Cricetulus griseus: one gene and its partner. The protein of the gene in region 1 interacts with the protein of each later gene in a biochemical or structural test. Links are inferred from orthologs where the notes say so. Each region holds a gene or a part of one and is shown in the gene's direction. Other genes may lie near its edges.

The links.
Region 2: the proteins of Setd1a (region 1) and Wdr82 form a complex in vitro, tested with the Homo sapiens proteins (2 studies listed by BioGRID). The link is inferred for Cricetulus griseus from reciprocal best matches to the Homo sapiens genes SETD1A and WDR82.

The regions. Positions count from the first base shown.
Region 1 is NC_048596.1:72,994,016-72,998,273, reverse strand, and holds the start of Setd1a (histone-lysine N-methyltransferase SETD1A), read left to right. Parts: upstream 1-1,361; 5' UTR 1,362-1,556; intron 1,557-1,835; exon of another isoform or gene 1,836-2,057; intron 2,058-2,069; exon of another isoform or gene 2,070-2,217; intron 2,218-2,401; exon of another isoform or gene 2,402-2,542; intron 2,543-2,870; 5' UTR 2,871-2,885; coding exon 2,886-3,035; intron 3,036-3,227; coding exon 3,228-3,323; intron 3,324-4,258. UniProt on the Homo sapiens protein: Histone methyltransferase that catalyzes methyl group transfer from S-adenosyl-L-methionine to the epsilon-amino group of 'Lys-4' of histone H3 (H3K4) via a non-processive mechanism.
Region 2 is NC_048597.1:214,373,033-214,377,460, forward strand, and holds the start of Wdr82 (WD repeat-containing protein 82), read left to right. Parts: upstream 1-1,542; 5' UTR 1,543-1,876; coding exon 1,877-2,037; intron 2,038-4,428. UniProt on the Homo sapiens protein: Regulatory component of the SET1/COMPASS complex implicated in the tethering of this complex to transcriptional start sites of active genes.

The DNA.
Region 1 (4,258 bases):
GGTGGAGGTAATGGGCCTGATGTGAGGTATGATTCCGTCCAGGGCTGGCAAGGCTGATCTGAATGTGGTTAACAGTTGTGGCCTCTAAACTCTTGTTTCTACACTTGGGATTTCATGTAAGTTTCTTCCTGAGTGATCACTTCATCCTACAGGACTATTCATAGGTTCTCTCATTTAGTCCTCACAGTCATCTCAATAAACAAGTATCATTTCCATTTCAGACAGGCAGCTGAGGCCAGGAAGGCTGATGCTCTTGCCCCACAGCCACACAGTCTGTGTGATTACCACAGCCTTCTACTGAGACAAAACAAAGGAACATCTCTCATATATATATATATATATATTTTTTCCCTCAGCCTCATAATTTTAGAGCACAATTCCTGTCAGTCTTGTGGTGAGAGACCTTGTACAGTCTTCATTTGATTACTTGGTCAATTAAAACGTGAAAAGGTAGGCACCAATAGTTTTCCCTACACTGTTGTGAGGGTTACATCAAGTTTTTTTGTGACCAACAGCCACCTATTCTTGGAGGGATGACCTGAAACTAAGGGAGGTCAATGTGAGGGACTGTTATGGAGGAGCCACCGAGGGCATCCTTGGCTCCGGAAGCACATCTGGTGGGAATGCCACTGTTCACTGGATGAAAAGGGGTGTTCAGCCTTGGCGCAGTCTCAGCTCCAAGCAAGCTTCCAAGTGAGACCCTGGCTTTGGGCTCCAGTGAGCACAGGGAGCCCTAGCCTAGGAACCGCCTGTGGATTACTGGGTTACTATCAGACCTTTACTTCCATAGGACACAAGGGTCCTCAGGCCTCTCTCAAACTTATCAGACTGAACCCTGAGACAGCTTTAAATCTAGTTACGCGCCCCTTGGGTCTGTCTGTCCGACACAGCTCAATATCCCCCGTCGGTGAAACGGGCATTTTAAAACAGGCCCAAGCGATGTGTAGCTAGGGCGCCCAGCACGCAAGAAGCCCTGGGTCAGACGCCCAGCAGCCCATACACCGGTTACGGCGGCGCACCTGTAACCCCAGCCCTCAGCAGACAGGGGCAAAGAGACCAGGAGCTCGAGGTCATCGTTCGGTGCGGAGCCAGTTCGATGTTACTCTGCCCGAGAAATAACAGGGGCCCGAGTGGACCAGCGGGAGGAAACCGACCGCTTCGTTACGTACGCGGGGCCGGCAAAGCGCCTGAGTCACCGCTCCCGCTTGTATTTTTCCACCTCCCATCCCGCCCAGGTTTTGGTGGATTCTACGGGAAGCAGCCCGTTACGCCGGGCTCCGCACGCCTGGCCACGCCTCTCTGCGCGGCGCGTCGGCCCCGCCCACAACAGGATCCGCAGATTCGCTACCCGACTCCTTAGGGTTATCTGGGCAGCTTCCCTTGTCTGAGATTTGTCATGAAACTCTGAGGAGACTTTTCCCCCCTGTGAGCATTTCGCCCCGAGTCGGAAGTGGGCTGCTGCTTGAGTTGTGCTAGAAACAAACATCCAGGAGTACTGGCCGACACCGCCAACGGGGCTCGGCTACCCGGGCGTCCTTTTCTCGACTCCACCGCAGGTGAGCGGAGGTGACGGCCAGAGCCCAGCACGGTGGCGAATCTGCAGCGCAGCCTCACAGGCGCTAGAGCTGCGCGAGGAAGGGGCAGGCAAGAGGAGCGAAGGAGCGCGCATCCTGTCCACTCTCTCGCCCCGCCCGCCCGCTCGCTCGCCCGCTCGCCCGCCCGCCTCGCGAATCTGCGTCGCCCGACGCACCACTCAAATCTCCCGAGCTCCGGCCGGCCTCCTCCCCCTCGCTCCGCCCCCCTTCCCTCAGGGGGCCCGTCGCAGCTTTCGTCGCCGCCGATTCGTCACGAACCCCAAGGCCAGAGCAGCTGGATCAGGGTGGTGCAGTCCACTCTCCGGGGGATGCGGCCAATCTTCAGGCTCCCTGGGCTACGACTCCCGAGCCTTACAGGGCGCCGCCCGAGGCAAGGCCGCCACACTCGGCCCCGTGGACCTCTCCGCAGCGCTCGCGGCGAAAGTGCGAATGCAGACGCGGCGCCCGCTGGGCCTCGTGCAGGTGGCGGTGGTGTTTGGTGCGCGCGCCGGGGAGGTGGTGGTGGGGGGGCGCCGCCGCCCCGCTGCGGGGCCGGGTCTCGCGCTGCGCCGCCGCCGCCGCCGCCTCACGCCGCTGAGGTGCTGCGCGCGGTGGGGGAGGGTGAGCCGCTCGCCACGAGCGGGTGAGTAGGGCCCTGGCGCGTGCGTGCGTGCGTGAGTGCGCGGAGCCGGGGTGTGTGTGGGGGGGGCACCGAACGCGCCCGGGCGGGAGGAGAGGGCAGCGGCGCGCGTTACCCGCCCCCCCCCCACCCAGCGCCCGCCCGCTCGCTCGCCCGCTCGCCCGCCCGCCCGGATTCAGGGACCGAAGCTGGGTCTCAGGCTCGGTCTCGCGGTGTTTCCAACGCCCCGAAGAAGTGCCACCTCTGGTCCAGAGGATCGGGGCGCGGGGACGCGAGCGGCTGTGTGGGAGCGGGAGCGGGAGCGGGGCTTGGCCCGGGCCGCTGGCCGGTGAGGAGGCGGGAGGGGGCGGGGCCTGCGAGGGGACGGGGGAGGGGTCTTGCGTGGAGGCCAAGTGGGGCGCGCTAGGGAGAGCGGGAAGGTAAGGGGGCGCGAGATGGGCCCTGGGCCCTGAGGGTAGAATTGGGGGTGGAGAGGAATGGAGTGTTACGGTGAACCTGGGTCCTCAGGGCAGAATCTGAGGGAGCCGTGGGTCATGCTGAGGTATGGAAACCGGACTGTTAGGAGAACCTGGAATCTGGGCAAGCCATTGAGGGGACAGCAACGGAGTCAGGCCGAAGCCTTGGACCCCCATTGCGTATCCCTCTTTTCCTGACAGTGTAAATGAGCAAGGATGGACCAGGAAGGTGGGGGAGATGGGCAGAAAGCCCCGAGCTTCCAGTGGCGGAACTACAAGCTCATAGTGGATCCTGCTCTGGACCCTGCCCTGCGCAGGCCTTCTCAAAAGGTGTACCGCTATGATGGAGTCCACTTCAGTGTCAGTGTGAGTGCACCAGACCTCCTCTTGGCTTCCTTGGTCCTCCCCCCATCCCCCTGTTGAATATCCAACACTAGACCTCCTGTACCTGTAGCTTGGTTTTCTGAGAATGAGCAAGTTACACCAGCTCTTCTGTATGTGGCTTCATAGAGTCAATAGCCTGGTAGATTTTCATGCTGGTCTCATTCTGTTTACTAGGACTCAAAGTATACGCCAGTGGAAGACCTCCAAGACCCCCGCTGCCATGTCAGGTCCAAAAACAGAGACTTTTCTCTCCCAGTTCCGAAGTTTAAGGTAATTATCTGCTGGTCTCCCAGCATGTTGGTTCTCGGAGAGTGTCAAGGATCCTAGCACCCTGGTCTTTTCATAGTCTTCGAAAGTGGCTATTCCAGTGGATCACTGACGACCAGATCATTGCTATTGAGTCCGTGAGGCTGAGATGTTTGGGACAGGAGGTACACTTGCATAGCTGAGGTGTTTCTAGTAGAGGGATGAGGTATAGGGGGATGCCCTAGTTATTCAGCAGTTAGGGGTACTGCTAAGGCCACTGCCCACTTGGTGTCCTTGGTTCCTCACTGTCATTTGGGTATGTGCTCCAACTTGCTTGTAAGAACAGCTCCATTTCCGGATTTAATGGGATATTCTTCAAGCTTTGGACTGAGCCTAGAAAGCTGGTGGTTCTTTGTTTCCTTCCAATTTTGTTTTTTTCATTGATTCTTAATTTATCGGGTGCTTTCACCTCTTTCACTTTCCCTGAGCAGTCTCACTTAAGCTCTGTTTTCTGAATGTTTATTTCCCATACCTATTTCCATCTAACACCTACCCAGACACTAGAGACTTAAACACATTATCCTTATTCTCTCGGTCCTTTTCGTTTTTTTCTTTACTGAAACAGCAACACCAGGTACTCAGGTGCATGAGCTAGAAACCTACGAGTCACCTGGTAGTTATTTCCTTTCCATAGTCATAATCTTTGTCTTTCATTGCTGTTTTCTTCATGCAGAGTCTTATGTATTTCACTTGGTTTTCCTGGCTCCCTCCTCAATTTTAGCTTCTATCTTGCTGTCATTAGTCTCTGGCACTGTTGTTCTTACTTTATGTTCTCATTTTATGTTTCTGAGTGTGTCTTTTCTTTCCTTTGTTTTTTGTTGTTGTTGTTGTTTTGTTTTTGGTATTTTTCAAGACAGGGTTACTCTGTGTATAGCCTCAGCTGTTCTGGATCTCACACT
Region 2 (4,428 bases), on another chromosome or scaffold:
GCTCAGCAAGTAAAAGCACTTATACACCTGCGCATACACATACACTTTTTTTTTTAAAGATTTTATTTATTACGTATACAACATTCTGCTTCCATGTTTATCTGCACACCAGAAGGGGGCACCAGATCTCATAACGGATGGTTGTGAGCCACCATGTGGTTGCTGGGAATTGAAATCAGGACCTCTGGAAGAGCAGTCGGTGCTCTTAACCTCTGAGCCATCTCTCCAGCCCCCATACACTCTTTTTTATTCATTTACTTTTTGTTTGTTTTCAAGGCAGGGTTTACTCTGTAGCTTTGGAGTCTGTCCTGGAACTCAGTTTGTAGACCAGATGGCCTGGAATTCACAGAGATCCGCATGTCTCTGCCTCCGGAGTTCTGGGACTAAAGGATTGCGCCACCACCACCCGCCACACACACATTTTTAAAGAGGCCTAAAATAGTTCATGATCATTTGGCTTTTGGCTGCATTTTATCTCATAATTCCGAAGTTCTAGTCAGCCAGTCCACAGGATCTTTACTACGTATGTGCTACAGAGGAGGCCAGTTCACACAGCAGGTCGGAACAGGACACCAGATCTGTCCTCACCATCTCAAGCTTTCATGGCAGACTGCATCGTCCTTTTTAGGCTCAGAAACAATCACTGGGAATTGACTGGATTTGCAGTTTGGAAAGTTGCCATCCATTCAGGTTGCATTCAAACCGGTTTTTCCTACTCCTCAAACCTCAGAACAAATTGTAGCCAGGTGCTCTGCTTTGTCAGGTGGCCACTGCAGTCCGGACTTAGCCTTGTCTTCCCCCCTCCCCGCCCCCAGCCAACAATTTCTCTACGTAGATACCCCGATTTTTTACAGGAGGACGTGGAATTCAACCCCTAGTTATTTCCAAGAAGACTCCAACTTTTCTAGTGTTTCCATTTCGTTTGTTTTGTTAACCATTGTCATGATATGTGGGATTCTGGTCACACCTTCCTCTTAGCTGCCAGTGAGTGAAATGTCTCACAGTGAGTGCTTTCCTAGGGTTTCCCCCTCCTCCCGCATTCAAGTTAGCTATCTTCATGCGCTTTGACACTCTCGAAAAAGTTCTTAAAGAAAGCTCTGACATCCTGAGCAGTGATCATGGTATATACCCAATTGAAAGAGGCACACACTTAACATTTTATATGTTGTCCTTCATTAAATTAACACATGGAGGCCTCCTGGGTTGGTGGTGTGGTGGTCAAGCCCCGCAGCGACCGGTTCACCTGAGTCACACCCACGAGCAGGTCATGAGGGGTGACCTCCGCCAGTACCTGCGGCCTCAGGGGCACCTGAGTCTCCCTGGGGAACGGCTCACAAAGGCACTAGTCCCGAGGCGACCTCAACTTTCCCGCCCTCAGGAAGCCTCTGGACGCTCCACGCCCGCAGGCCTCCCCTCTCCACACCAGCGACCGGCGACTTCCCGGTCCACCGACTTGGGAGCCCGCCCCGCTGACGTCATCTCCCCGCCCCCGCAGCGCGCGCCTCAGTTCCCGCCCCGCCCCTTTTCCCGGCGTCCGCCGCGGCAGAGGCTCCTCGCCCTCTGATTTTGCTTCTCCTTACAAGATGGCCGACACAATGAGCCGGCGCATCGCCGGTTGGCCCTGAAGCGACTCTGGGGAAGAACGGTCAGTGAGGTTCCCGTCATCCCGCCGAGAGGGCCTTGCCCGAGGAGGTCGGCGCGGCGACCCGACTGTCAGACGCCGCCCCGGTAGCCGCCAGCGCGGCGCCCGCACGGCTGGGGTTGGCCCTGAGCAGCCCGCCCGCCCGCTCGCTCGCCCGCTCGCCCGCCCGCCTCTCGGCCCCGCCCCGGCCCTGCGCCGCCGCGGCTGCCTTCAGCCGCCGCCGCCGCCGCCGCCATGAAGCTGACCGACAGCGTGCTGAGGAGCTTCCGCGTCGCCAAGGTGTTCCGCGAGAACTCGGACAAGATCAACTGCTTCGACTTCAGCCCCAACGGGGAGACGGTCATCTCCAGCAGCGACGACGACTCCATCGTGCTCTACGACTGCCAGGAGGGCAAGTGAGTGTGGCGGTGGCCGCGGGCCGGGTTCCAAGCGCCTCCCTCCCCTTCCTTGTGTCGCCCGTCCCCGGCTGAGCCCCCACCCCCCACCCCCAGCCTGTGGTGTGCACCCCGCCTCCATCCTGCAGTGGTGCAGCCCCCTCCTGTCTCTGTAAAGCCAGGGTGGTCCTAGTCAGCGCTAGCGTTGCTGTGCCGGGCGTGCGTCTTTGGTCTCTCCCGAGCGCGCCCGCTCTCCAGACCCCACCTTGACCTTGACCTTTAAACGCCGCGTCCCTGCCCCCGGCGGCCAGGCGGGTGGCCCTTCCCGCTCCCCTGCCTGTCAGAGGCTGCGGGTCCCCCGGCTCTGAGCTCGGCGCAGAAGCGGAGGAGCTGTGGTGCCCGTCCGTCAGCGGCGTCGGCTCTCTGCCCTCACCGCGGTGACCTGGATTCAGCCCTGGCACCGCGCCCGTCCCCCCTGCCCCTCGGCTTCCAGCGCGGCCTTTCTGCCACCCAGCCCCGCGAGAGGCAGTTTTCAGCTGTCAGGATTTATCGGTTGCGCCTGTGCGTGAGCCTGCTGCCTTTTTCCCTGTGCCGATACCCACGCTTACAGTTAACTTGTTAAACAGCCTCTCGGAAACTTTTCAGTGCCAGGCTCGGGCGAACTTGGCCGCCCCATTCTGGTCAGAATGTGAGCTCCCTTTAAGACAAAGAAAGCGTTCTGGAACAATTTAGTGTTTCCTTTTGCATTACAAAAAAAAAAAAAAAGTTTACTCGAGTGCGGCGGCCCAGCCGCCAATCTCAGCATTTAGGCCACAGAGGCAGGCAGATTCCGAGTTCTGGACTTCATAGGCCAAGACTCAAAAGGGTTTTAAAAAAAAAAAAAAAAAAACCGCCAGTGTGTAGTTTGCTTGGAATTAACAAAACTCTGGATCTGGTTATGGGAGTTATGTGTTGGTTGGATAACCGCTATGGTTGTGTGCCTTTGCTGAGCAGATCACTTTGCCTTTTTCATAGCCTGAGGTGGGAGAGACGTTGTCTGCCTGGCCTCACCCTCTAGGTCCAAGTCCTTTGCAACAGAAACTAGTGTAGGCTAAATTTGATTTCCCTTGTCAACTTCAGCTGCCTTTCCTAAGCAGGAGATGTTTGGTTTAGTTTAATAGCTACTGTTTTTGACATTTTGTTAAAGTTACCTATGTTTTTGAAGCCTTAACTTTTTCTCTACTTACTCCATCTGTTCCTTTTGTTTCATTTTTCAAATAACAGACAGTTTTCTTTTGGAACTTGTCCCTCTGCATTTATCTAAAGTAAGGCTGTGTTGTAGACTAAGCTGCATATGTTTTTCTTGACTGTTTTCCTCACTGGGACTATAATAAAGTATTATGTAACTGTCTCTGGACCTGCCTGCTGTGTGTGGAAGAGTTCCCTACAGTGGTGATCCTGGGGAAAGAGAATCACAGATAGTTGTTTGAATTGATGTTCGTTTTAGTGTGTTGGTTTTTATCCTGCTCTGACCATTTGAGTTTGTTTGGAAGAGCTGGTAGGATTTAAAGTTGGGAACTGGAAGTAATTTGAAGTTGGTTTGCTTGAAATATTTAGTGTAGTACATATATGAGAATCTTCCCCCCAAAAGTTGAAGTGGAAATGCATATCCCTTATTCAAAGAAATAAAATGCTAAGACTAATTTATGTATAAAACCTTTTTACATGATTACAGACTTCATAGAACGTTACCAGTGTTCCAAAGAAATTTCTTGAAGAAAAAAAAAAAAGGCGCTTTCTTGCTCCGCAGTGCCTGTAATTCCAGCACTGGGGTAGGAGACTGGAGGTGGGAATGTTGGGATGCAGCTTGAACTACATAGTAAGATCCTGTCTCAAAAAAGAAAATATAAGAGCTGGAGAGATGGTTAAGAGTATACTTGGTGCTCTTACAGAGGATCTGGGGTCAGTTCCCAGCACCAGCATGGAGGTTCACAACCATCTGTAACTCCAGGGGGTCTGACTCCTACTTCTGACTTCCCTGATACCAGGAACATGTAGACATACACACAGGCAAACACCTATACACATAAAAATAAAGTAAATAAATATTTTTTAAAAGTTGTTTTAAGAAGAAAATATGTTTTAAAAAAGGTTTCTAGGAACTGGAGAGATGGCCCAGGGTTAAGAGCATATGCTAATCTTGCAGTTCAGTGCCAGAACCGACCGGAGGCCCACAACTACATTTAACTCCAGATCTGATGCTCTCTTCTGGCCTCCATGGGCAATAGCCATGTAAAGGGTGCATATTATGTAGATGCAGGCAAAACACTCATATACATAAAATAAAATCAGCAAATCTAAAAAAAAAAATGTTTAGAAGAATGATCTAACAGTTGGAACTAGGTATGTAACCATAGTGCTGGCTGGCTTCAA